4 linked regions of the Struthio camelus genome follow. The protein of the gene in region 2 interacts with the protein of the main gene of each other region in a pairwise test. Links are inferred from orthologs where the notes say so. Each region holds a gene or a part of one and is shown on either strand. Other genes may lie near its edges. The genes, in order: GOLPH3L, HTT, UBE2K and ZFYVE19.

Region 1 (7,032 bases), on a different chromosome or scaffold from region 2:
CCAGGCAGAAATACACATTAACCGAACCAGGAATGCTCAGTGTTGTCCAGGAAGAAAGCAGACCATGCCATGCTCCCAAAGCACTCTCTAATATTTGCTCCAAAGTTATTTGTGTGATGTTCCTGTTACAGCCTTGCTCTTCTGTTACTTCCTATTCAGCTTGGTGAGTCCTAGATCTTATCTAGGCTTGTTCAACAGGGCAGCTACAAGCCTCTGTCACTTATGCAACCACACCACAGCTTTAACAGCTACAACGTCTCCTTTCCTCAGGGCAGGAAGATGGACTCACACAAAGCACTCGAAGTGGAGCTGAAAAAAACAGCATTTAAGGCTCTCCTCGGCCATCGTCATTCCAAGAAATACCCTGGGCAACTGGTTAGCTTCTTTGCCTCAATTTCCCCATCAGTTTGATAGGAATAAAAGTATCACTTTCCCCCAAAGAGATCAAGAAGACGCATGCATTAAAGAAGGTGAAGCACGTAGACGCAACAACAGATAAGTGCTCCACGGCTCAGAGCCAAGTGATTGGAGAATTCAGTACAAGATACTGTCTTTTCCTGTCCCAACGGCTCATTCCAGGCAGACTTGAGCAACGAGTTGCTACCAGCTGATAAGCACAAAACAGATCAGTTTGCTCACATGCACGTTCCAGCAGAGACCATCCTCTCTCTGAAAACAACCATCTGGGAAGTTCACACACTGCTGCCCAGGAAAGCTGTAAAACTGGCACACATCAGGCAAGGCAAGTGCCTCTTTTCCCCGAAGCCTGGAGCTGCAAGATGCCATTCTTCCCTGGCTAAGGACATGGACACTCTGAAAACAGAGACACCGCTCCGACCTCCCTTATCGTTTCCATATTCAAACTTATTCTGCACCTGCTTTAAACTCCTGGTCCAGCTGCACTCTCTCGTCTTGTCTCTTCTCTCAAAACTTGCCCCGGCTGTTTCTGGTATCAATTTTTAGAAAAGTGTAAACAGTGCTCAAAAGACCTTCGTGTTTCACCTGCTGGTTTCAGATAGGAAAGCTTATCTACGTTTGGGAAGAGGACATTTACCATCTGACACAAAGCGTGGCTTCTTTTACCGTAAGTCTTTGGCCATGGCAAAGAATAAACACGTCTCTGCTCTGCAAATGGCAGTAACGTAATACTATATTGCACCTCTCATCTCCAGCTGTCCCTGCGGCAGAGCTGATGGGACAGCACTTGCAAGGTCCTCATCAACTGCTTCTGTATACAGCTCCACAGCTAGGTTTCAGCTGCAGATGATGGTGGCTTGAGCTTAGTAGGCCGACCTTGTACTGAAGTGGATGCAGAGGAACTCGCACAATCCCTTCCACTGCATATTGAGAACCTCCTTTCCAGATATGCCAAGACAGCACTTCCACTACTACACGTGCAATAGCGCCAGTGAAAAATGCCTTACTTCCTTGTCCTTCAGTCCCAGAAGCAGCACCTCTTCCATGAGGGTGAGGCGGATATCTTTGGAGTCATTGGCGTCTTCATCTTTCAGGTCTCTGTCCGCAGCCGCGTCTTCCTCGCTGTCGGGCTTCTTGTCCGAGTTCTTTCCTCGTCCTCGATGCGTTAGCGTTGTCATCTTCGCCTCCAACTAGGAGCACAGGAAGGTAAAGGCTGCGCCACGTCTAAACACGATGGGCTACAACAGCGCGAAGCCCTAAGACCTGAAACCCAGACTCCAGGGACGGATGCCCAAGGTTGAGGGAACCCTCCCCTTTTTCCCCCGGGAATTTTCAGCTCACCCCTCCCAGGATGGCTGTACAAGAGTCACCGTTAGGGAGTGGTTGCCTGTAACTTAGCGACACGTTTGAAGAGAGGACTGCACCTTCAGAGAGGGAACAAGGAACTTGAGTCACGACAAAATCTTTTGACCAAGGGGACTTCCTGGCCACGCACACGTAATGGAGAAGGGGTTAAGGCTCAGGCTCTCCCACCCAGTCCTGGATGCTGGATACCCAGCAGAGCCCCAGGGCAACGACAAAGGAGCACCTTCATCTAGGCTGTTCTCCCTTTTATTTTCCCTTCTCTACAACTTAGCTGCTCACAGCTGATATTTATCTGTTTAAGGAGCTTAATGAGCTGCCCCTTTTGGTTTCAAACTCCCAGGGTGCTAACCCAAAACCTTCCACAAACACCCTAAATCCCCAGCCTCTGCCCTATCCTCAACCCGACCCTCGGTCCCCAATCACCCTCTCTCGCAGGAGCAGCAGAGTCTCGTTAAAAAGCCACTGTAAGCCAGGAAAGGGGCTGAGATTTAAGCGCTACAAGGGCAGCGGGGATGGGGGGGGGGGAAGGAATATTTCCTGCAGCCTTTTTCCACACGCCGGGAACAGATTAAGAAGCCGGAAAGACACATCCACCTCCTCTCTCCCTGCAGCACAAGCCCCCACGCAGCAATAATTAGATTTGACAACTTTCCCCCCCCCCCCACCGAAACGCGCAAACTGCGAGGCCGACACGGGCCAGCAGCCTCCCTCCTCCTCCTTTCCCCGGCGGAGTTTCGGGCCCCTGAGAAACGCAACCCGGAATAACAAATCGCCCGGTTCAGCCAGCCTTACCCGTGCTCGGCGGGTCCCCCCCCTTTTCCCCGAGGCTCCTGCGAGCAAACTTTGGAGCCGGGGAAGAGAAAAAGCTTCCTGGGTGAGCCGAGGCAGGGGAGGGAGCAGCCTGGCGGCTTCCTGGGTGCCCGGTAAGCCAGCCCGGTGCGCAGCGCCGGCAAATGGGAGCCTCCAAGGCGAGGAGCCTCCAATGAGCGCGGCCAGCGGGCCGAGGCAGCGCGGGAGGCAGAGGGTGGGATTTCTCCTCCTCCTCCTCCTCCTCCTCTCCGGGAGGAAGGCACCGGGGTGTGGAGCAGCGCTGCAGGGCTCTGGCCCCGGGGCTTGGGGCAAGGGTTGCCTGTCCCCCTTGGGCTGGCAGCGCTCGGTCCCCGCTTCCCCGTGCCGCCTTGCTGGGCAGAGGGTGCTGGAGCAGCCGGTGCCTTGTGCAAATCGTGCAACGTGTTTTTTCACACGCACCTGGGTGAGGGCAAGGCTGCGGTGTTGGTCAGGCAGGGCTTGGTGGGAGGCTTCCGCCCGCAGAAAGCAGCTTGAGGCAGGGAAAAGGGGAGCCCTTGGCTGTAAAAGTGAATAAATACGTTCATAAATAGTTGCAAAGGAAATCTTGTTAAATCAGACTGCAAAACTGGCAAAGCCTGAGGCTACGCAATGACAGCGTTTGATAATTAAATCCCAGCCATCCGGTTCAGTGCAACGAACTGGAGAGAAATGAGCTGCTGCAAATCTACGAATCCCTCTCCAAACTGCCACTGAAGCCCACACCCGAGGACAGGCAGGGCTCTGGCTTTAAGGTAACCTTCTTGCCAGTGCAGCTAGTTTTCACTATGAAAACATCCTTTCAACTAGTCTCCTCCTCTGCCCTCTGGGATAACTCAAGGGAAGGGAGCCTTCCTCGAGAGGAGAGCATTGCCACCAGTTGAGACGAAAGGATTAAAATATTACAAGGCTGCACAAGGAGACTCTGCATTTCCAAGGCAGTCTGATGGTTCTCCAGAAGGCACTTCTGGACAGCTTTGAGGGAAAAGGGATAACACCTGAACATTGTGCCAGCTTAGCTCCTTTAATATCCAATCCCTTGGCCAAAAACACACACAAAAATGCAGCGTTGGAGCGAGCGGGGAGCCCGGATCTGGGACACAGGGTAACAGAGCAGTCTGAAAAGCCCACCAGGCAGAAGGAAGATCTGCAGCTACGGGATGGACACAGACCAGAAGACATTCACCACCTCCGTGTTCTTCACTGAATTTGTTCCCTGCCTACTCTGACCCACTGCCCACAGCCCTCCACTCCCATCAAAGCTGTGTGGTCCCCATCCAGCCTGGTTCAAACAAAATGAAGTGGCTGTACCCTATTAAGCTAGAATTCCAAAATATTACCAGCATTTCATTAAAACTCAAAAAACGTACTCCAATCAGAGTGGTCAAGAAACATGCAAACTGTTAGATAACATTCTTTTAATTGAGGAATAGGATAAAAAGATGTTAATCAAAAAAAGAGAAATGTTCAGCTATTCATATCCAGTTTAAACACAGCAGTAGCCCTTAGCCATGCATAAACAGCTTCACTCCAATTCACTCACAGTACACAAAAAGTAACAATTAATTGTTTAGGAAGAATAAAAATGGCACCCTTTGACTCCTGCAATTAATCATTTCACATACATATAGGTTTGTTTTTCAAGTTTTTCCATCTTACACTAATATAATAGATGCCTGCCACAGATTAGCACTTTGCTTGTAATTACACACAGATCACATCACAGCTCTATGCAAATCCTGCATTTTGGTGTGAAATATGAAGATATGAATAATGCTTTTTATCTCGAGTCTGGTGCCTTGAGTCTGGAGGAAATACATGGAATCAGGCCACCTAAACCTCCAGTAGTTCTGCTTACTATGTAGTAAAAAGAAAATCTGTAATATTGCTGTAACTGACAACACAGTTCTCCTGAACCTGCTTGATAAAGCTCCAGAAATTAACCCGAGAGCTCAGTTTTTAACGCCCTGTTGGGTAGGTTCCGAACAAGGAGTTCCCGAGTTTTAAATACAGCCCAGATAAAGCGATCAGCGAAATATCCTCGTGTTTCAGTTAATGGGCACACACACAGTGTTAGCAGAGAATCAAATCCCCCCAAATCATCTTTGTTATGGATGTTTTTTTCAGAGATTGCATCATTAGCTAAGTACCTTCTATCTTTCCAGATGGCAATACACATTTCTATAAAAAAAAAAACTTACAATTTCTTCAACTGGGCTTGACAGATTTTTTTTTTCCCTTAGATATAAAATACACTACATTTCGACTACAAATCAAACAGGAAAGATCCCCAAATGGTATTTAAATATTAACATTCATATTAAACAACGAATCGAAGCAATATTGAGGTGAATTCTGTGAACAGCAGGGAGATGGATGTCTAAAACTGCTCCTTTGGTTCACTAATTTTTCTCCTTTTTGGTAGCACATCTTGACTAGAGAAGAGTTCAAATTGATGAACCTGCCAAGGAAAAATACTGCATTACTGGTTGCTGTGCTGCACAAACTATGGCCTGCTCCACTGCATTAGCAAGCGTAACATGGAAATCACCGAGTAAGACTCGGCGGTGTGATGTGTCAGAAGCTGTGCATTGAGCATCCAGTCCGTGCCATTATCTGGTACATGCCCAAAGGGGTTAAGCCTGGAATAATATCTGGATACTATTTTCTCGAAGAATTTCCCACCGAAATTACTATAGAACAGCTTAGATGTATTTATGTTGTAAGGGCAGGAACTCCCACGTGTAACGCTTCAGCAGAATGTACCAAGTTTACCTCTCAGGACTGTTCCCCAGACCAGATCTGCCCTCCGTATAGGCAAGAAACCCGAAAGTCCAACTCCAGGAGCTGCTGTGAGGCACACAGTGGCTCAAGATAACGGTAGAGCAGCTCCAGGTGACACAGGGAAGGCTCTGTGTGACACCGGAGAGCCCCATATTGACAGGAAAGGGCAATCTGCACCACATAGGCCTGCTGGTTTTATCAAATTATTTCTGACTTGGACATGTAGGAAACGACCAGAATTTAGCCTTCAGTCCTGTTGTGCTTCTGCTTATTTAAAACAACGCATTTTAAAAAATTCTATTAAGTTCATATTGACAAATGAGCATACAGAAAATAATGCTCTTTTTTACAGTAGTGACTAACAAACCTCAAAAATACTGCTTATGAACCTGAGGTTGGAAGTAAAAAAGGGTCACTCTAATAGTGATAAGCAGTATTTTTTGAAAATGACCAAAATCTTCCGAATTTTATGTCTCCGCTTTGTGAATTTGTGGCAAACTTAGATAGCTCTTTTTGCATGCTGCTTTCACACTTTATGGCCCAGACCAGTTTCTCTTCTGGATTTCTTTAGAACATTTTGCCGAGGAACGGATTTTGCAATGTTCCCAAGCTTGATTTTCATCAACCTTTCTGGAAATAAAGCAACTATTAGTTTAGAAGACGACTACTGGCAACTATTGAGTAGCACATTATAAATCCTTATGCAACTACTGTTCCGTAACCTGCATTAAAAATTAATGAAGAGCTTTCCTGAGTGGCGACAGGAAGGGTATGATTTTCCTTAGCCATGACATGTAATTTCCTCTCCTGATTGTAAATGATGAAGAGCCTTTATTTACAAGAACGGTAGTATTCACCCCATTGCTTTTTCTGAGAAAAGCATACCAATAACTCTCAATGTTCACAAATAAGAGGTACATAGAGGTATAGCAAAGTGACTATACATGTACTGTGGCAAGTTCCGCACAGAGCAGAGGCTACAATTCCAGGTTTATACAGACTAGAGGCTCCCCTTAGCCTTAAAACGCTAAAGCTACCAAGGTCAGTGGGTAATGGCAGCAGCCACAGACAGATGAGTACCCAATACCCTCTCCTAAGGCCAAGCTCCATCCTAAAGACAACTTCTATTCCACCTGTACAAGACTCAAGGAATCTGGCTCCCCACAGTAGCACAGACTAAATAAGTCTGCTGCAATGTGAATAACCAAAGAAATAATGGATTTTTCTTGGTATGAATGAGTCACACATCTGAGGTTAGAATTATGGCTCTGTGTTTTCCAAGTAAAATCACTAGTGATCATATGGTACGCTGGGCTGGGATCTCTACTGGCACACACACATATCAACAATGGATTAAACCAGCAGGGAATTTGGCTAAATGCATTCTTGAGAAAATAAGTCAATCCTAATGAATCTTTCTCAACCTGTGTAACTACTGTAATGCTCAGCTTTTAATTTTTTGGAACAGACTTTTTTTTTTGACACTAGGAATCCAAATGTTTTGATGCTAATAGGAATTTTCTAAGTGATGAGAATCTTTCTTTCAACATGTATTCTATTAAAACTTGAGAATTTTTTTCTCTTTGGAACAGAAAAAGGCTTAGAAAGAGCAGAAAACAGAAATAGAAAACTGATACTAAC
Region 2 (7,221 bases):
CAGATTAAAACCTCTCAAAATAGAAAAAGCTCTTACCTCCCTGACAAAAGCTTGAATTCAATTACTATTTTAATAATAAAGCTAGGATATTCGTTTTATCAAGACCACAAAAGTCATTTATCTTACAAGAATAAAATGAAAAAAAAAAACTTCAAAACATTGGTGCAAACAATTATGTTTTACTGTACTCCAGTTTCTCTGTGATGTTATAACATTTCATAGCATCAGTCAAAGAGCCCTTAGCAGGACTCATTCACTAACCAGATACAGAATGCTCAGTTTTTACCAGCAATATTTTTCAAAGGTAGTTTTTGCCTATTCTAATAGGAAAGTGTTTTGTGTGGAGGTTTTGTTTGTTTGTTTTTAATCTTGTAGAGGTAATATTATGTTGTTAAAATTTAAGGTAGCTTATTTTGAAATAAGAAAAAGAGTAGAGATCAGCAGCGATCTTACTTTCATGGTAGCCAAAAGACATTGCTACTGCAATAGAGGGTATACATCCCAAGCATCTCTTTCACATGGATTTTCATTGAAATACTCCCTATTTAACAATAGGCTGTCCTCAAGTTTACATTCCCGCAAGCTCTTTCCATCCTCTTCGTGTTTGCATCTTTTTAATTGCAGCTTCTTAAGCACTTGAAAACATAAAATTTCAAGCCTGCACTTCCTAGACATCTTTTTAACTGCAATCCATTTTACTGTTTGAACTTAAAAACAAAAACAACAAAAAAACCTCTGCCCACTTACGTGTACCACATAGCAATACTGTCTAATAAATTCTGTAATAATGAGATTACTCTTCAACTGAAGGAATGTCAGCCTGTCATCTAGTTTAGGCAACAAGGCAACTCCAATCTAACAGACAGCGTTAAATGTCTATTTAACGAAACAATTGAAGAGTAAACTATTAGCACTTTGCCTATGACATTCACCAATTCATTTGTTCTCTCATTATCGACTGAGAGAGTGACACTCCTTTTTACAGCAGTACACGGATAAGAGATAGGAAGTTACCATACAGAACAACAAAAGATTTAAGTGCGACTTATACACAACCACAATTAAGACAATCATTTCTCCCAGGAAGGTAAGGAAAACGCATTGTCATTTTTCCTTTCAAGTCCATTACCACAAAACACAGACAGAAGTGTGAATTACATTCAAGATGTCACCTGGTATTTAACCAGAAGTTTGGGAAACTTCTTCAGCAAAGACTGCCACAAGGTCCTTTCACAGGCTTTGGTGAGGCTTAGTGCTATTACTGAATTTGTATAGTTCCTGGAGGCATGCAACACTATCAGCTTTCTGAAAATATGCAGTCTATTTTTAAACACAAAGCATAGTCAGCAAGAACAATTACAAACCTTGGTTTTTAATGGTTTGAGTATACCAGGCCTAAATTCAGAACCTCAAACCAGAAGCATTACATCCCCTCACTGAGCATCACATCCCCTCACTGAGCATCACAAATAATTAACAAGCCTTTCTTTAAGAACATGATCTATCTTACCGATAACTTTTTAGATAGATTTTTTTTCCCCACTCCATATAAGAAAGATTGGAAATAGATGTCCACCTACCATGTCACATGAAGTACTAGCACACACACAAAAAAAAAAAGCACCTCATAGAGCAATAAGTCCCTGCGAAACAGAAAGACATCTAAAAAGAACTGGCTCACAAAGGAGGGATGAGCCAACTTTTTCATCCGTTATGCCCTGAAAGTGTGAAAACGCACTGAGATTGTTTGAGACAACACTCTCCAAACAGTATGAACCATGATAATTTAGTTGGCAAACATATCAGAGTGTACTGTGGGAGCAGGTGGCTAAGAGCCCAGCTCCACTGCTTATCATCGTCTGCCAAAACACTCAAACTGCCAATTTAGAACTTACCTGCTCCTCAGCCCTTCTGCTTCTCCTCTTTCACTGATATCTGGAGCAAAAACAATAATGTGACTCACGTATTTATCTAGTAAAAATCTCAGTGCTTTTTCACCTGTTCAATAAAGTTTATTTTTAGAGAACGCTAATGTAGCGGGCAGCACTCTGGTACTGAACAGCTTCGTGCCTTTGTCCTCCAATAAAGCACTAGGATGGGACACCAGAACATCACACGGATGCAAAAAGATGCCTCTTCAATGTGTTTGCCCCTAATGTTTTCAGAAAGCAAAAGGACATCAGAAACGTTTAAATTAATTCTTCTTGGTAATCACCACAGCAAATCAGTCACAGGACAAGATTTCAAATGAAGTTTGTCATAAATAGACATTCACGTCAACTACCCCAAATGTATTCAGAGCTTAGACTTTAAGTCATGCTCATTTTCTGCTGTTTTTCAACAGTGTGTTAGCTGAAAATAACATTTTGCTTTCTAGAAGCAGCCCATGAAAGCGATACAGCATCGCTCTCTCTCTTGTCCACTGTCCGAACCCCTGTATGGTCAAATGCATTTACCCAGAAAGTTACCGCTACTTTTAAAATTCACAAACAAAAAACTAGCGCCAGGCAGCGCTCCTAGCCACGTCCACAAGTACAGCCTCCCGCAAGGAGAGGAAAGCGCCCCGAGGGTAACTCCTCCGGGGCAGCGCCCGGCTACCAGCTGTCGCTCAGACCGTCAGCAGCTCCCGAGCGGCAGCAGCCCAGGGAGGAGGAGAAGGAGGTTGGGGAAGACATAAGATAAGACTTCTCCTTCCCCAGGGGAGAATGTCACCGAAATGTTTCAGGAGCCTGCGGGGCGCGGGTAAGAGAAGGGGAAGGGAGCCCTCCCCGTGCCCGGTCACTCACGGTCTCTGGAGCGGCTCCTCGGGGATAGCAGCCGGCCCTTGCTGCTGCTGGAAGGAGCGCAGCGACTCGAAGGCTTTCATCAGCTTCTCCATGGTGGCCATGTCCAGTCCGCTCCGCTCCGCCCGCGCCGGTCGCGGCACCGGCCCGACGCGCCTCTCCGCCCTCTCGCAGGCGCCCGCCTTCCTCCTCGCGGGCCCGGCTCTGCCCCGCCTTCCCCCGCGGCTCGCCCGGCGCGCTCAAGCCAGCCGAGGCGCCGCCGCCGCAGGCCGCGCCGGTGGCGGTCGCTGCGCCGAGCCGCCCGTCACGGCCGCAATGAATGAGGGAGACGCCGCAGGGGGCCGCGAGCACTCCCCTGCTGCCCCGCCGCCATCTTCAATCCGTCCCGTCATCCCCCACGCCGCTGCCCCGCCCCCTCCCTGCGCTGCTCCGCCCGCTCCGCGGCCCGGTTCCAACCACGGGCAACGCCGCGCCCAGCGCGCATGCGCAACCTCCCCCCTCCCAGCCGAGCCCTGAGTCACGTGCACACCCCTAACGTAGGTACATGCACACCCAGGCACGCGGGCGAGCTGAGGGGCGGGGCAACAGGGAGAGCGACAACCTCGCTGACCAATCAAAAAGAAGATAACTCCGCCGCTTCCCAAAGGTCACAGCAGAGCGGCTGAGGCAGACGCCAGCAAGTGGCGCGGACCAACGGCGATCACGCGCCCCCGCCGGCCCCGCCCCTCGTCGAGCGCGGCCGGCGCCGCGCCCCCTGCTGGGGGAGGGGCGGCTGCCCCCGCGCTGAGGTACCGGCCCCCGCCCCGCTGCAAGTGGGCGCATGGCGGCTGTGCCCCTTACCCCTCCGGCAAGCCTGCCCAACGGTAGCAGCTTTTCCGTTTTTATTTTAGCCTGCTCCGGGCCTGAGGTGTCTGTGGAGAAGAGGAAACGGTTACGGGAGCAAGATATTTAATCCTTACCAACCTACGGCTTCCAGCACTCCTCTCAGGCTTCCTGCTTTGCCCCTTCTGAGGACGTTTTGATACATTTTATACGCACTGAAGTGGTGAGAGAGCCGCTCCTGTTCTGAAGTTAAAACAACGTGCCTGCAAAGGGGGAAAAAAATAAATCGCAAAAAAAAAAAAAAAACCCGCGGTGTTCCCTATGTCCATCTCTGTGATGGAGCAGAATTTGAACTTCGGCCCACGGGCACAAGTTTCCTACCCCTATACAACTCATATTCTAGCCTTGATGTAAACGCTGGAAAAGCCATAAACAGCCTTACAGAGAACAAGTGATATGGTTGTTGCCAATTAGTCCATAAAACATTTCTCTGACACTTCTATTAGTGTGTTAATAAGATTGACTTTGAGGAACGTTTCAAAGGGTATCTCTACAGTACTGAAAGCAATCTGAACTATAACAAAGCCCCAATTTCATTATAAATGTGTGACAAAACATATGTACGCTTTCAAATTGAGAACTTTTAAACTTGCAGAGTTTTCTCCAGAACATATGGATGATCATTAATTTTTTATTCAGCAAACGATACATGAAAAAAAAAAAAAAGACGAGTGGAAGGCTGCATTCACTACCCCATAATTGCATGTACCACTCCAAACTTTGAAATAAGTTTAAGCATGTTTAAAAAGAGCATAAGCTCTTATCAAAGACTGAACAAGCCACCTATGAAGTCAGGCTTTGCACAATTGCTTTGAAGCTTTAGATTAAAACATGCACCAGTCCCCTAAGGGCTGCTGACTCACGGGCAGATATGCTAAGGCAACACACGCCTCTAAAGCAGCACTACTCTTTGCTCTTGTCTTCCCAGACTGTCTTGGCGTTTGTTACACACGAGTTGGGATAACTGGAAGAAAAGCACCCAGGGATATCTTGGCTTGGGCTTTTTCTTTGGCAAGTGTGATAGTAATAGGTTCTCCCAATTCAAATTGACAGATACAGGCAAAAACATGGATCACGTCACTGGTCACAAAACAGATGGGGCTAAAAAAATAAAGGCACGTAAAACTGGCAAGGGGCAGAAACAAGCAAGCTGGGTTAGAGAGCGGCAAGTTTTGTAAGCCATCATTACCATGAAGAAAAAAAAAAAAAAAAAATCACATTCTCAATGGAGTAACAACCAACACACAAAGTGTTAACTTAGTAAATGATGATAAACCTGTCTCCACCTCCAGAAGGAAAACAGAAGAAACAACGCTTTTACCCTACCTAAAAGGAAGACCATCTAGGTCACGAATGTGGAAAGGCTTCCCAAGCATAGGCTTGCGAAATACTTTTAACTACTGAAGGCTACTTCTTCAGCGCGTTCAAGAACAGGTTAGACGAGCACGTCAAGAATATTTTTGGCCTCATCTCAGTACAAATGCTTCTCCTAAAGTCAGTCTTGACTCTGCATTTCTACATTTCTGTTGCTCCACAAACACAAGCAGGTACTTGGCACTACTAGGATAAATCGTCCAATAGACTTCATGAGACTATACAACTCATGTAGTTGGAACATATGCTCAGGTATTTTGCTATATGCCATAGCAGAGTTATACTACCATTAAAGTCACTTAAACACATGCTGTTTTGTATAGCAATTGAGTGCTTATTTCTTCAATTCAAAAGTTACAAAATCACAGGGAAAGCCATTGCATAAAAACAACAAGGTTTCGAAAATTTAGATATACAAGCAGCTTATTGTTGAAAAGCATTCAAAAAAAAGTCTGACTAGTGACTCGCCATAAATTCTCTCAAGGAGCGATGTCTAGGTTCTTTCCTTTCATTATGGACAATTCAGTATCTGCAAGACTAATCACAAGCACAGCTACTCCTGATCAGTCTTGCACTCACATTCATAACGTTAGCACAATAAATATATTAACAAAAATAGACAATCACCATAATTCTCCATTTCCACACCAATATGTATGCAAAAACTAGAAATCGGACTAATAATTCAGGTATCAACTGAGCAAATACAACAGAGCTAGGGTACTCTCTGCTGGATCTGACAGTCTTACATTGGTAAAGAAATTACAACATATAATACACATTTTCTATTTCAACAAATTGTGAGTTAAAAAAATATATATACATATATATAATTTTTCCATTATCTACCTCAGTTGCCAAGAGAGACATGGTGAATAAATCACATTAGACAATAATACATGTGATTTAGACATGCGGCAGTGTTTTGCTTTTATTTCGGAACAACAAACGCTAGAACCTCCAGGAAAACAGCTCATACAAGAACAATTCAGTGGTTTGGAAATACTGGAACCAACGTATCACATTTAGCCATCAAAATAGTTATACTTGGAAAGAACTCTGGTGTTCTGGACACATGTAGAACATGTGAGAAATTACCTGTGTCACATGCAAAACTTAAATTAAGTTACACCATATGGACAATTACAAAAAAAAAAAAAAAACACACATACATACATACAGAAGAGACATCATTACCACCAAACACAGGTCATTCAAAAAACAAAAACCTAGAAAACCACCAAAAAGCACATAAATTTATCTTGAAGATGTTCTCCATTAAAGTTTTAAATTAATTCCAACTTGTGAGTACTTAGAGAGAAGTATTTTCTGGAAGTCAACATGAGAATAGAGGTGATAAATTATTATAATACTAAATTGTAAACAATAGTGAAATACTACTACTTCTGTTGACTTATTTTCAGTAACTTGTAAACAATATTTTGGAATTTATAAACGACAGTGAGAAATACCTTCCATCTATATTATTTGAAAAATAATTGAAGAGTATTCTAAAAATTCATTTTTGCCTTCAGATCTATTGTTTTAAAAACGATTTTAAAAAGATATAGCATTTTTTATTAAAGATTAAGGTTTGACAATAGCTATCTCCTTGTTTCTGAGATACCACAGGTTTTCCTATTTCTATTGTACAGTAATTATTTTTAAGTGCTCTTTTTTTTTTTTTTTTTTTAAATAGGGGCTGTTTTGATGTTGTTATAATACAAAAACATGATGCCATCTTTATTATGAACACTACCTCTGCAAAACTTACGTTTTTATAGAAAGAAAGCAACCCTGAGGCATGAAGATTTAATTCTATTGGTCAGTCACAACATTCAAAAATAAACTGATACTGTTATATTGTTTCACAGTTTCTGAATTTTGAGCTAAATATATATATTCATGAGGTATGAATAAGCAAACGCTAAGACTTACACACAAAAATACTTGGAAACAAACCACAGACAAGAATGATCGATCTCATACAAGTAACTCCATAGGAATTCCATAAATTTTACCCTATTTTGTACCAGGAGAACAAAGCAGTCAGGCTGTTGGATTGTCACATTGCTTTGCAGATTTAATGTATTTATTCCCTGTCCATGTACTAGAGTTAGTAAATTGCACAAGGAGTTAGGTCATACTCACTGCATGGAGACAAAAGGGACAAATTTAAAGT
Region 3 (6,838 bases), about 15 Mb from region 2:
ATCATGCAGGCTAAATCTATTTTCACAGTCTCCAAAATGTGCGAAGTGATATGTATATAAAGACAATTTCTGGCACACAGACCTCTCTGTTAAAAATTTGGGATGACAACAAGAGAGATGTAGTGTGTAAGGTAGGTGGGAAAAAAGGGTTAAATTTAAGAACATCTTAGTTTTTTGAATATTTCGGGCTTCTCCTTTGTCACTTTTTTTTTTTAATAAAGCATGTTATAAATGAGCATATTAACATTTAAATGAAAAGTGAATACCATCTACTACTAATACTGCCTGTAAGGTTAATCCTTCTATGGATGGCTCATGAAGATAAAAAACCAATAACAAGAAATATGTAACAGATTCAACCTTTGCTTCTGAAGTGTTTGAAATCACCATACAAATCTCCTGAGACAGCTCTGCTGTCCTAGAAGAAGTCCTCCAGCAACAACGAGAGAAGATCAAACCTGACATTTCTGATTTTTCTAAACTAAAGAGGCCAAGATGAGGGGAAGAAATAGTCTTGTTATGCAAGACACAAAGAAGATACAGCAAAAGAAGGAACAGAACGTTGCATGCTGGAAAGTTACAGTTTCAGAAACGGCACTTTCTTCTTCTGATCAGAGGGAACAAAATAATTCCAAATTCTGAGTAATTCTAACAGAAAAATATCCTACTGATATAAAGAGAATAAAAATAGAAAAATGTGAAAATGATAAAGACATCTCTAAGAATAACCATTTGAAGAACAGAAATTTAATCTTACCTGGTGCTGTCACAAATATTTTGAAGCCCCCCCAGGCAGTGCGCTAGGGTTGGGGGGCGCCCATACTCTCAGTCAGAAGAACCATAAACACAGTGACTTTATTGTATACGCAGCAAGTGAGTCCAACATACCCATGCAATTTGTCCACGTACAATAGCCACTTTCCCATGAAAATGAGGGGGAAAACTATTTCCTACGTACAGGTTGTAGGGCTGAACCATCTAATACAGGAAACAAAACATTGTTTAGGATGTTTGGTTATACCAGCAGAGGTGATGAATATTGTCAGTCCTTTCGTACTGAGGGCCTCAGGTGATGCCTTAAGATCACCGATCTTAGTTTATAGACAACTGACTCTAAACATTCCTCCTGAAATAACTTTATGGAGTCAGAACCTCCATTAATTCACCAACTTTCCTGCACCCCGTTCTAGAAATATTTCAAAGCAATATAGCAAACATACTGAATAAAGTATGGATACCTGGAATTGTGCCTCCCAGTCTATTAGTTATGATCAACACCAACATGCAAAAGTATAGACCGATTTGTGGCCAGTTTGTGAAAGCTGTTATTGAAGGAACTGTTTGCTATGAACCTAAATCGATGATGGGATTAATAGAAGAACTATCTCTTGAAATAAGACATAGTACAGGATTTCATAATACAAAAAATGAGCTATGTTCAAAGGACTAACTTCTGTTTCATATTTTGCATATGGATTTCTCTAAGGGTGGAAGACTAATGAGAACTTAATTCAGAGGTTATACACAGAACAGTATTATCAGCACACTATACAGTATATTATGAAGTCAGACATGCGAAGTCATTGAAATCACAAGAAGAGGCTGAGTATGTTCTCATTTTACTTCTCAGCAGTTTTCTTTCTAAGCATTTTTCTTATCCTACCAAAAAAAATTATTTGGAAACTGCTAGTCTATGGTCCTGTTCTGGCTTAAAATAAGGTAGAGTTTTCTGTAATATAGTAAACTATAAAATATTATAAAAGCTATAATATGACAGCCCCAGCATACTCATTACATCAGGTACTGATTACATGCAGTACTCTAATTGTGGTAGGACTTACCACCACTTCTTTCTACTCTCCAAAAAGCCTTCCTACATTCTCCTTATTTTACCAGAGAGAAAATGAACAGAAAAAGGACAACTAAAACGGAGGGCCAGTGAAGCATATGATGAATATGAAACAATCGTGAAATAAGTGAAAGATGCGTATATAAGGATAAAGGAAATGAGAAGAACATAGTAAGGAAAACAGATACAGGCACTCACATTAATTTGATTTGCTTTTTGCAGTAACAGACTCTGACATCTGTAATCCAAATGAGCACATGGAAATGAACCCAGATACAAACCAGGCAAAATCACTGCCCTTTACTTTACTGGGGCTATTACTGGATGTCTACTACCTATAACATACAAGCACGCTCACAGGAACACAAAGAATGCTGACACTTGATAAAGGTCATGTTTTCGACTCCATTCAGAGCAAGTTCTGCATATTTAGAAGCTCAGCTTCTTACTACCGTGGGCTGTCTGAAAAGATATAAGGCATTTAACTCAGGGATTTTATGTACTGCATTTATAATTTTTGCCTATAGTATGCAACGGGAGCTGAGCATACCATAAACCTAACTTTCAGTTATGAGCTCTCCGAGTCAGATAAGAATTATTATGGCAGATAAGAATTATTACCCTTATGTTACAGGTGGGAACCTAAGGCATAGCGAAGCTATGGCCTACCTCCTCAAAGGAACTTAGGCACGTCAGTGGGACTTAGCTGTCTAAATTATTTTGAAGCTGAAGGCCCAAGATTACACTGGAAGTCATTAAAAAGAAATCAGACTTAATGCAAAATGGTTCTTTTCAGAAAGGTAATAAAAACTGGAAAAACGTTGCGTCAAATGCATATTGTGTCAAAAACAAGCTTTGATACAAAGAAAGAGCTGACTCTATGAGCCAGATGCACATGATACAACACTGTTCCAGGAGAATGGACTTTTCCCAGTCAAATCACAGGGGAATAGTAAATACACAGAGAAAAAATATATATGCATCTGTAAACAGCTGCCAGATTTTTTTTTTAATCAATTGGGCCTATACTTTCTTTAATGTTTATATAACAGTGAAAATGTTGTGTGCATCACTGGAGATAAATGAAGTGTTTGCAGAGGACAGCCACAGCACGAGCAGACAAGTCCCAACCATAAGCCACTACAGTCAGGTTCCCAAGAATCAGAAATGCTCCCTGTTGGGATAAGCGTTTATGCCGTACACAGCCCTACACTGTACTATTAGGGGAGGCCCTGTAAAGCGTTTCTGTAGACCTTGAAGCCTGGAAAGCCTCTAGTTTCCCAAACGAACAACAGTCGTAAACGCAACCTCATACTCCCTTCTGAAAATCTGTCTGCGCTCTCCCATAACATACCACATTTTGCCCTCCTCGGGCAAGCGGGGATGGTTACGGGCACCTATTTCTGTCTTCTGTTATCTGTGCCTTGCAGTGCTTGCTTCTGCAATAAAGCGCAGCAGCCCGTTAGGCGGCCCTGAGCCGCCGCCTCCTCCCCGCCTCCCGACGCCTTGCAGCAGGAGCGGGGCGAGCGGCCTCCCCGCCGCCCGGCCTGGCCCCCTCCGTCCCCGCTGAGGGGCAGCAGCCTCTCGAGGGCGGGATCGCAGCCAGGGGAGACGCAGAGTACTGCCGTTTAACCCCCCCCCAAAAAGGGGGGGAGAGGGAGGGGGGTGAACGGAGTCCCTCGGCTGAGGAAAGCCCCCCCCCCGGCTAGCTCTGCCCAGGCGCTGCGGGAGAGGACGCGTGAGCAGCTCGCAGAGGCCGGCGCTTCCTGCGCGGGGGGCGGCGGCGGGGCCGTGTCACCGCACCGCCGCCACCCAGCTCCGCCGCGGCGCGGGGCCCGCCGGCGGGGGGGCGGCGCAAGGGCTCTGCCGGCCCAGCGCTGCTCCCGCGTTAGCCGCCGCCGCAGGAAACGAGCCCTGCCCGGGTCAGGACGAGCGGCCGGCACCTCCCTGGGGCCGGCGGCGGACGGAGGCGGCAGCCGCCCCGCGGGGACAGCGGGCAGGAAGGGGCTGCGAGGCGGCGGTTGGCGCGGCGCGCACCGTCCTCCCTCGCGCTCTCCCCGGCGGCCGGCGCCCGCCCCCCATCCGCCGCCGGGGAGCCTCGGCGCCCGCACCGCTCCGCTCCGCTCCGCGCACACGGCGGCCCCTCCTGAGCGGCGGCGGCGGCAGCGGCAGAGCCGGGTGCCGCAGCGCGCATGCTCGGCGCGGGCGCCATTTTGGTGGGGCCGGGAGTTATCCAGCGAGAGCGGCGGCGGCGGAGCTCGCTGGGCCCGGCGCGGAGGCAGCGGCGAGTGGGTGCGGGTCGGTGCCCGCTGCGGAGATGGCTAACATCGCGGTGCAGAGGATCAAGCGGGAGTTCAAGGAGGTGCTGAAGAGCGAGGAGGTCAGAGCCTCTCCCCCTCCCCTGGCGCCGCCACCCTCCGCCGTGTGTGCGTGCGCGTATGTATGTATGTATGTATGTATGTGTGTGTGTGTGTGTGTGTGTGTGTGTATGGGAGTGCGGGCAGCGGGGGAAGGTGCGGGCTCCCCGCCGGGCTGCGCCGGGACCCCGCTTCCCCCTCGGCCCCACCTCCCCGCGCTGGGGGTGGGCCCGGCCCGCGGCCTCGGGGAGGGGAATGGCGATTCCCGGGGAGACGGGACCCGCCAGCCGCGGCGGGGGGAGGAGGGGGCCGCCGAGCCCCTCCCCCCGCGGGCAGCGGGAGCCGCCGGAGGCCCGAGGGGGAGCGGGGCCCGGCCTGCCAGCGGCAGGAAGCGCGGCGGCGGCGGCGGGGAGCGAGGGCCGGGGGCCGGGCCGGGCAGCCCCCGGCGGCGGCGGCGGCGGCTCCCTCCGCCCTGGGCGGGCTGTGGGCGGCCGAGGCGGCGGAGCCCGCTGCCAGGCCGGGCGCTGCGGGGTGGGGCCTCCCACGCGCGGCGCTCCCGCGACCCTCGCCCGCGCGGGTGCCGCGGCACGCATCGCCGCACGCGGCCCTGGCGGCCCGGAGGCAGCGAGGTGCATCGGTGAGGCCGAGGTGCAGGATGCGTGGTCACACACATCCCCCTTAACTCACCTCTCTGGTCAGCCAGAGACTGCGGAGTGTGTGTTTTATTTTTTAAAAGGTTGCAGGTAAGTCCCTTTTTATCTAGGTTACTTTAATCCAGAACTTCCTTTATCCCAGTGTAGGTTAACTCACCTTAACGTGGATGGTTTTAAAACCATACTCATTTAATTCTTGTTCTCTCGTTTTCTGGCTTTCTAAATAGTGTCTCTCTGAAGCAGCTCATGTTATCGAGAGGTATGTGGTGGTCAACGAGAGGAGCTGACTACTACCTTGGGCAAAATATTAAAAGAAGTTTTGATCTGTTATTGGGAATATGTAGCAGCTTTTGCAGGGTTGCATCAGTACAATTCTTGCTGTGTCTGGATCTGAGTTGGCGAATGACAACCAGATAGGTTTTAATAGTTGTGTCGTCATTGTCGTCCTACTTGGGATGATGTTGCAGGTTAGATGCCTGTGAAATATTAATGTGAACGTGTAACTCTTAAAGCTAGTGTTTTAGAAATCTGGACACATTCGCAGAAGAAAATCAAGAGGACAGTAATTTTTTGAAGATACTAATACCTCACAGAAAAGATGCCATTGCTGTAGTTGATGCGCTTTTAAATTAAGTGTGCTAACAGCATTGTTGCTATGCAGCTTGAACTAGCCTCTATAAAAACGTAAGGGCCTTGTTTTACAGCTACCTTTGGAGCCCAGGCTGTTTTTGCTAAGCTCTTGCACAGTGATTACACAATTAGGTGTAAACTAAGACAAATTTCTAGGTGGCCATCTTTGTGCCAGAATTAGAGTCCAAAACCAGTACTCCATATAACTTTATACTGTGGGAACAACATTTGTATCTGCATTTGAAGGTACTATCTAAAGGGTTCAAGTCCCTTTCACCTTACTTTATGTAGGAAAAAGAGAAACAACCTATGCAATTCTGTGGTGAGATCCGTCCTGAATTTCCTTACAGTAAAGGTTGGGTCCAGAGAGCACATTTTTCTCCTTTCCTGATTGTTTAGTCTACGCATTGGAGGGGATCAGTATAGAGTGTTGGAAATAAATAATATTATAAAATAGTTCTTAAGCTAGACAACATCTTTCAGATATGATAAGGCCACAATTCTTATGAAACTTTAAAATTATGAAATTTTGAAATTAAAGCATTTTTAAGAGTTTCATGTGTCGTCTTTTTCTGCCATTATCAAGCTACATATGAGTAGAATACTGACATAGCACATATTGTAAACAGCATTTTTGTAGATACTACTATCTCCCCTATCTTGAGTACGTGATTTAGGCATTTATCTGTGGTTCTCTATGTTACAAGCAAGTCTGTTGTGGATGTTTGTACTTTCAAAGCCAGTCAAGCTATGGTGTTAGTACCACTGAGCATAAAAACATGTGGAGTGAGATGGTGAATGGAGGGATAACTAAATACTACAAATTGAAGAAGTCTTTTTTCCTACATGTTTTGTGTAATTAAGCAGTTCTTGACCCTTGTTCTTAAAAATTTTCTGTGTCATGAATAAGTGATGCTAAATTTGTTATATAGAAATTTCAGTCCGTTTCTGAAGGCAAAGTAGCTCACGTTACATGCACTTAGATTATTCTTATTTGAGGCTTTGAACTACAGCTGAACATAAAGAGCAGTGCCAGTTTGTTTCTCTGCAGATCCAATATGGGCAGAAATAGCATTTTTTGGTGCTTGAAAGGAACACATACAGACTTTGCTCTGTGTGTTTTTCCCATATTCATCTGTGGACTGAAACAGGGTGATTTTTGAAAAAGCATTTAAAATCCTTTCAGACTTGAGAAATGGAAGCATTTTTACTCTACTGGCTTTATTATTTCCAGTTTTACTATAAGCTCTCTCACACCTTAACTTAAGGACTCAGCTATTGAGCATTCAATAAAGGTCCTTGTAACTTTGTGTCTCTTAAATATTTGAACTATAAATAGGTGAGACCAG
Region 4 (7,147 bases), on a different chromosome or scaffold from region 2:
AGTAATAACCCCCATGACAACTCCTATTTTATGCAAACTTGAACTGGGTCTCTCTTTTAAATACAGTCAAAGCCATCAGCTGTAATAAGTCAGATGAGTATCACTTGAGGCTCCCCGCTCATAGCCTGATGTGGGCTCCACACCAGGCCATCTAGGTTCAACGTTTTAGATGCTCACCCATATTTGTGGAAAAGGAGCAACCATGGACAACATGCGAAGCAGTGATTATATTATACAGTAATATTCTTGCAACTTGTCCCTAGAAATATGGGGTTAAGTGGGAGTCAAAAATGTGGCAATGTGACCCTAAAGGCAAGTTTCTAAGGGCATGCACCTGGCGAAAGACTCCAATCTTATCTGTCTTGAAAACATGAATTCAACAGTACTGTTACAGGAACGCATTCCTTCCTGAATCTGCAGACACCCTGAAATATAAAGTTACAAATAATTTTTCTCTTTCAGATCAAGGGCTTTTCAATCTGAGAGCTAAACATTCCATTTTTCATCAGTTGTTAGGGGTCCTTATTAATCATTTTCCTTAAGGGATAAGCATGTTAGCTGGAGTTCCCACACACAATCCAAACCACCTTCCAGCCCTCTACAGAAATCAAAACCTTTAGCTTTCCTCTAAGCTCTGCTCAAATCTCTGGTTTCCTGCTGGCAGTCTCTGCTTTAATTATACGTTATTTGTCTATAAATCTGTGGCCTGCCAAACAGGAAAATGCAAGGTAGAGAGCATCATTTATTTTGATAAATACCTTCATGAATGGCATTCTTTCAGTAAAGACTACCGCTCATTTTCACCCAGTTAGTTCCAAATTTTAAATGGAGAAGCTGTAGACTCCACAGACCTTGCTAACAGGTCTACTCAACTGAACAGTGTAAAGGGATTTGTCTTTTATAGACAATAATCCTCTCACAATGGGCATTGTCCATAAATAATGATTCATAAGCTACTGTTAATATTCAGATTCTGAGATATATGAATTTAGAGCAAACAGCCAGTAGACAGCAAAGACAGTATGGCCAAAGGTCCAGGATTCGAATATCGTCACAGGAGGATTTTGAGAGGTTCAAATTAAAGTTCAGCATTCACTTAAAACATCTTTGAAAACCAACATGTAAGCATTTAACCTTAAAAATTAGAGGTACCTAGCAGTGACAAATATATCTTATTCCCACATATGTATACACCACATGAAACAAAAACAGGTGCTACCTTAATTGCATGCAAAGACAAAACTGTGATAGAACAGAGCCACCTCCAGTAATCTGTGCACATGCGACAGGCAAGAAGAGCATCTGTGTCCATGCAGTCCAATCTTACCTGCTTTGGGATTGTCCACGTTCTTATCAAAGTGGCAAGTCAGGGCCTTCTAGGGTATGCTTTCTTAACCTGTAAAAGTCAGAACAGAGATTTGCTAATTACCGCTGCTGAAAAAAGCAACTTGGAATAGAGCATTACAGAAACATAAAAAAATTACTACTTATTGGTCTTTTTTGCTTAATTTAAAATACGCTTCTCTTACATAAGTAAATAAGTGTGGTTGAGCCAACGTTCACTTGAATGACTAGAAGCCCCCAGGCCTGACAGAAAATAAAGGCAGCTTTTGGCACGCTGATAGTACAATTGATTCCTCATTTGGAAGAAGGAAACAAGCCTACTACGACAGTAAAAGGCTACTGAAACTCAGTTTTCAATTTCAATGCAGTCATCTGCCCTTTTTATCACACTGAACTGTAAGGAGAAGCATTGCAGCCTGGGAGACTGAGCAGTCATACAGTCACCTTTTGAATCAAGTTGAACTTTTCAAGGCCGTAAGATTTACTTCTAGGTACATCGCATTATAGTAATTGAGCTGCAAGATCATCAAGACCAAGCCAAACACACTTAGGGACAGTTTTCTAGCAAGTCAGAAGAATAAAGCACGTGCAGCCATAACTACTCGAGGCAGAGAATGTACAACTTTCTATGCAACAACTGAGTTTTGTTGAGATGAAGGAATATTAACCAAAGACCGTTTAAACTCTCCTATATGTCAAACGAAAACTTTATAGCCTAAGTCACCACACCGGATTTTAATAATCTGAGTTCCCTTTATCATAGGAAATATCTGCGTGCAAGAAAAGAGAGAAAACCTGCAGCTGTTAGGCTGCCAAGCAGTCTTCTGGTGAAGAACCTGCAAAGACTAAACGGGAGCCAGGCACCACCTGGTGGTCAGTAGTAAGTAAATGTAAACGTGCAGCTGAAACATGATGCTATTCCCTCTTGAAACATGGTAATTCCCTCTTCTCCATAAGCAACACTCCAGCAAAGAGGGAGTGAAATCTTCTCCTATCACGATCACGACTGTCAGTTGCATATGACAAATCCCTCTGAAGCTTCTCTAAACAATTAAGTTAAATTTCTTTAACTGCCTTGCTCTCTCTTGTTCATTTGGTGATGCTCTCTGAACATAAAGATTCTTTGGGTTGCTTCCAGTATTTTATATTAAGGAGAGGCACTCTAAATTACACCTGTCAGTCTGTAAATTGCACTGTAACATCTAAATTGAAATTTTCTCTTCCCCTTTTCTTATTGACCAGCTCAGCAGTAAAGGCAAGGCCAAATAAGTTTTTTATTTGAGTCACTCCTGTGATTTTAGATTTGGCTTGATTCTGTTTTGTGCCTGTAGTACCTCGAATTTTCAGGTGGCATCTGATACAATTGCTGGACAGGCCCATATTTTAGCTTCCAAGTTTTATGCAATTGTTCTTTTAATTTCTAATGCTCTTCACTGTATTGAGGGGGAAAAAAAAAAAAAAAAAAGCTTGAGGGAGAAAACCCAAAGTTTTTCCTTTAAGTTTAGCTCTGTTCAGATAATTAACGAGTCTTACTTCCTTGAACAGATTAGTCAAATTCCAAATTTAATTGTGCATGACTTTACACTGTGGACTTATCTATTAAACAGACGAGTAAATAAAGGAAAATGTTATTTATTGTAAAACCACAAAATTAACTAGGTGGCTCATGTGAAACTATGGTACGTAAAACTACATCTAATAACTTTTTTTGGCAAACATTGTAGGATATTTCTTTTTCAATGTATGTAAACAAACACTGGGAGAAATACTGGCTAGAGTTAACTGGAATTTTTCAGTTAATTTCAGCTCATTTCCCACTCTTCTGAAACAGGATCTCACCCACAGGTTTAACACACCAAAAAATATCTTGGGTGCAACTGAGTCAACATCAGAAAATGCACTGTTTGTCTCATTAACAAATACAGCCAGCAACAGCTAATAGGCAACAATGCAACACCCTACCGACTACAGACGCAGTATGGGAGCATGCCACACATCAGTGCACACAGCAGCGATGCCCTACTGAAACAATGCTTTCAATAATTACTTCAGTCAATATCCAGAAATTAAGGAAGCACTGTTAAGAGTCACCCCACACCCTAGCCTGCTAGTCCCATTTCAAAAGCGCCAGCAACTGTTGTTACTACGCGAACAACGGCGATCAGAAACGGAGCGCGAGAGGCACTGAGCACAGAGAAAGCACGGGGAGCCCACGGCGGCCTGCGGGCCGAGCCCCCCGAGCTCCTGGCAGCCACCCCGCACAGCGCCGGCAGCAGGGACGAGGAGCCTCATGAGGCGATTTGTCCTGCCACGGGGCAGGGCGGCCCCGTGTCCACGCCCAGGGAGGAGGGGACGCCGCGGAGAAGTGCCACCGGGCCCCGAGAGCCCACCCGTGACCCCCTTCCCCGCCGGGCGTACAAGGCAGCCGCACCCTCCCCCTGCGCCGCCATCTTCGCGAGGACCAACCTCCCTCCCCGCCCCTGCCGCCCGCGCGCTGCCCGCCGGGAAATGGAGTCTTCACCGGCCCCAGCCGCCCAAGGGCGCGCTGCGGCCGCCCCCAGACTACAAGCACCACAATGCACCGCGCGAGCGGACCGGAAGCCGCCTGGGCAGCAGCTGGTGGCTCCCAGCAGGCCCCGCGCGGGAGCGGTGCCGCACCCTGGGTGATGTAGTTTGTTCATGGAGCAGAGCCCTGTGGTTGCGGCGGGAGGGGCGGCCGAGGGACTACAACTCCCGTCGGGCGGCGCGCCGCGCCGGGGCCGGTTTGTGGGAGGCGGGGGAGCGGTGTTTCTGTCTCGCGGTTGTGGGTGGTGACGGGCTGTGGTAGCGCTGCGTGTCTGTGAAAGTTAAACAAGGACCGCAGAGGGGGAAAGCAAATCTGTGGAGCTCGGTGTAGCGGGGGCGGCGGGTGCCCCGCAGCGCCATGGATAACAGGTGCTATGGCTGCGCGTCCAAATTCACGGTCTTCAAGAAAGAGGCAAGTCTGGCTTAGTGGGTCCCGGAGCGGCCTGTGCTCCCTGGAGACTCGGCTGAGCAGGCCAGAAGCGGCGTGAGCGCCTGCGAGGCAGAGCCCGGGCGGTGCCGCGGGCACCTCCGGCAGCGTGAGGGCTTTAGGTCAGCGTCCAGGCACGCTGCCTGAGGAGCGGCATAGCGTCGTTTTCCTTATTTGTTTCCTGGGCTCTTGTGGCTCCTTAACGCCACTGTATCTTCATAAAGACCACTGTAAAAGAAAAAAAAAAAAGGATTGAATTTGTCATCTGTCTAATCCAATGTTCCGTGGGTATCTCAGAGGAAAGAATCTCCCACCCACTTTGTTAGGCAGGGGGATGATCTGGCATCTCTGATTCCAACAGGAATTACACTCTGGTGGCTGAAGACTGATATCAGTTATATCTGCAGCAGCAGCTAATGATACAGTCCTCCTCAAAATCCGTTTACCTCCAGCTTTATCTCTGGTGCACCTTGGCAAGGCAATTGTTCCTGAATATGGTCATTCAGAGAAATGTGGTGTGTGTGGTGGCTAGGTGATGAAGCCCTGTCCTGCCTCTCTCTTGTATCTCCTCAGTGTGGATGTAAGAACTGCGGACGGGCATTCTGCTCTGGCTGCCTTAGCTTCAGTGCTGTTGTTCCCCGCTGTGGAAACACTCCGCAGAAAGTGTGCAAGCAATGTCATGGAAAACTAACTGGGTAAGGTGGGAGTCTTTCTTCACCCAAAGACAGTGTCCTGCTTTGGTCCCTCATTTTGTGAGAGTCTCTGTGAGAGTCAGGCTGTGCACTTGCCTGCACACACTGCCTGTGCCCTCGAGTTTCAAGCTAGGCCCTTACTGAACTGCTCTTCATGGGCTATTCAGTCAGAACATGTAAGTCAGTGTGTGTGAGGTTGTTCTCCATGGTGACAGTGTAGTCTGAAAGAGCCAATTTTAAATTGTCATGGATAGACCCTGGATGCCTGTGGGTATCCTTGCCACATGGGACCCAGCTAAGCCCCACAGTATTTGTGCCTAGAAAGGTACACCCTTTTGATAACCCTAGCAGTCTTTTCAGCTGTGTAGCAATAGAACAACCTGGCAACAAGATGTGCAAAGTGTTACTTCTGTAGGCAAACAGTGACACAGCTCCTTATTATTGAGAGGTCTCTGTTGCATGTAGCCTGAAGACCTAAATTTTGTAGTGTAAAATCGATTTTCTTTTAAAAGAAAAAAATAATATTTTCACAAACATAACATGTAGGGAGGCTGTTGAAAACAAAAAATGTAATTCAGCAGCAGCTTGTGTTGTACGCATACACAGGTAACGCAAGAGCACAACTTATGCCAGAACCTCTCTCTACCAATTCTGTGTTCTGTCCCTTCTCTTGTATTTCTCTTACTTCTCCTCCCCATTCATTCTCATATAGCAAGGAATTTTCACCAGCAAGTGGGGAATATTCTTGTTCTGCAGTTGTCTAAAGAGAAAGAACCTTATGTTATCAGAGGTCTTTATATTCAGGAGCCAGCGCTTTTGAAGTAGTGCGAGGTTATCAGTGGTGAAAATACAATACTCACAGTCTTTCCTTTTGGAAAACTTCTGATTTCCCTTTACATGTCCAAAGATATTCAGAAAAGAAGTCAGCCTTTCCTCATATTTCTTTTGATTTTTCATATCTGTTTAATGTCAGTACTGTAGAGTTACAGAAGACAAAATTATCCCCCTACTGGACAGCAGATAGATAAGTCACACAGATTGCATGGATGTTCTTCATGCGAAACAGCTTTCAGAACTGAAAACGTTTGGTAGGAAAGCAGTCCAGCAAAAACACTGCCTTCGTTTGTAATTATACAGCCCCTAGCACAGTGCAGATATATTTGTAGCTGTAACTTCTAGGAATGAATAGAATGTACTAACCACCTGACATAAGTGTGAAGTTTAGCTGCTTAACCTGAACACAGTGAGTCAGAACACAGAGTTACACAAGATGTGTTTGTGGTATGCAGTGTTCAGGTATGCTAGATGTCATTATGATACTGCTGGTTATATAACTCTGTTTATAACGTTTCATTTAGAGTTAGGGTTGTGCGCTATATAATTCTGTGTTTGTCGCATGGCATAACTCCTTTCAGAGTGTTCCACTATATTGGAGCTAAATACACTGGGAGTCTTAGCTAACTGTTCTCTATCTGCTTTCTGAACTGGGAGATGCAGGCTGGGGGGGGTGGGGGGGGCAAGGGTACTTCAGCCTCTTTTCTTTTGGAACGCTGATGACTATATTAAATAAATTTTATTCAGACATGAAACAAAGGACTAAAAATGAGGTCCCATGCTGTCCTAGGCAGCTACTACCTTTCCTAAACTGATCACTCTCCATATTAGTGAGGTTATGAAAGGACTATACCAAGAGTTTGATAAACACGTATGGTAATTCCTTTTGGTTTAAAAGAATGGATGACTGAAGCACTGCCAAGACCTTGAGTTTGGAGAGAGCATTATTTTTGCCTTCCAGAGAAGGATCTCAAAGCAGTTCAGCAAAATGGTCACCACCGGAGAACTACAAAAAGTGAGTTGCACTTGCCAAACAACCCATTGGCTTCTGCCACAAGGTAACCTTTCAGGCCCTCTCTCCTCTTCCCCTTACAGGAATCATCGAAAGTGGGTTTTGCAACGTGGGTATTTGCTTGTTCAGAATTAGATTAAGGTTGGAGCTTCTGTTTTGTTGTTTGAGGGTGGGTTTGGTTTGATGTGTGGAAGGGGTTGTTTGTTTTCTTTTGTTTTGTTTTTTTGTTTTTGCTTTTGAGTAGACTCCTGAACAGCCACCTAGTTATGTTCA

Evidence for each region.
Region 1: the proteins of HTT (region 2) and GOLPH3L interact in binary tests that used the Homo sapiens proteins (3 or more experiments, as listed by UniProt). The link is inferred for Struthio camelus from reciprocal best matches to the Homo sapiens genes HTT and GOLPH3L.
Region 3: the proteins of HTT (region 2) and UBE2K interact in binary tests that used the Homo sapiens proteins (3 or more experiments, as listed by UniProt). The link is inferred for Struthio camelus from reciprocal best matches to the Homo sapiens genes HTT and UBE2K.
Region 4: the proteins of HTT (region 2) and ZFYVE19 interact in binary tests that used the Homo sapiens proteins (3 or more experiments, as listed by UniProt). The link is inferred for Struthio camelus from reciprocal best matches to the Homo sapiens genes HTT and ZFYVE19.

The regions. Positions count from the first base shown.
Region 1 is NC_090971.1:2,590,913-2,597,944, reverse strand, and holds the start of GOLPH3L (Golgi phosphoprotein 3-like), read right to left. Parts: upstream 3,003-7,032; 5' UTR 2,575-3,002; intron 1,842-2,574; exon of another isoform or gene 1,759-1,841; intron 1,608-1,758; 5' UTR 1,596-1,607; coding exon 1,425-1,595; intron 1-1,424. Other genes in the region: HORMAD1 (HORMA domain-containing protein 1), read right to left, coding at 4,988-5,068. UniProt on the Homo sapiens protein: Phosphatidylinositol-4-phosphate-binding protein that may antagonize the action of GOLPH3 which is required for the process of vesicle budding at the Golgi and anterograde transport to the plasma membrane.
Region 2 is NC_090945.1:76,792,775-76,799,995, forward strand, and holds the start of HTT (huntingtin), read right to left. Parts: upstream 3,016-7,221; 5' UTR 2,888-3,015; coding exon 2,787-2,887; intron 1-2,786.
Region 3 is NC_090945.1:61,646,652-61,653,489, reverse strand, and holds the start of UBE2K (ubiquitin-conjugating enzyme E2 K), read left to right. Parts: upstream 1-3,837; 5' UTR 3,838-4,166; coding exon 4,167-4,229; intron 4,230-4,832; exon of another isoform or gene 4,833-4,949; intron 4,950-6,838. UniProt on the Homo sapiens protein: Accepts ubiquitin from the E1 complex and catalyzes its covalent attachment to other proteins. In vitro, in the presence or in the absence of BRCA1-BARD1 E3 ubiquitin-protein ligase complex, catalyzes the synthesis of 'Lys-48'-linked polyubiquitin chains.
Region 4 is NC_090946.1:40,768,462-40,775,608, forward strand, and holds the start of ZFYVE19 (abscission/NoCut checkpoint regulator), read left to right. Parts: upstream 1-4,136; 5' UTR 4,137-4,267; coding exon 4,268-4,321; exon of another isoform or gene 4,322-4,564; intron 4,565-4,909; coding exon 4,910-5,031; intron 5,032-5,043; exon of another isoform or gene 5,044-5,602; coding exon of another isoform or gene 5,603-5,788; intron 5,789-6,823; coding exon 6,824-6,877; intron 6,878-7,147. Other genes in the region: PPP1R14D (protein phosphatase 1 regulatory subunit 14D), read right to left, coding at 5,603-5,788. UniProt on the Homo sapiens protein: Key regulator of abscission step in cytokinesis: part of the cytokinesis checkpoint, a process required to delay abscission to prevent both premature resolution of intercellular chromosome bridges and accumulation of DNA damage.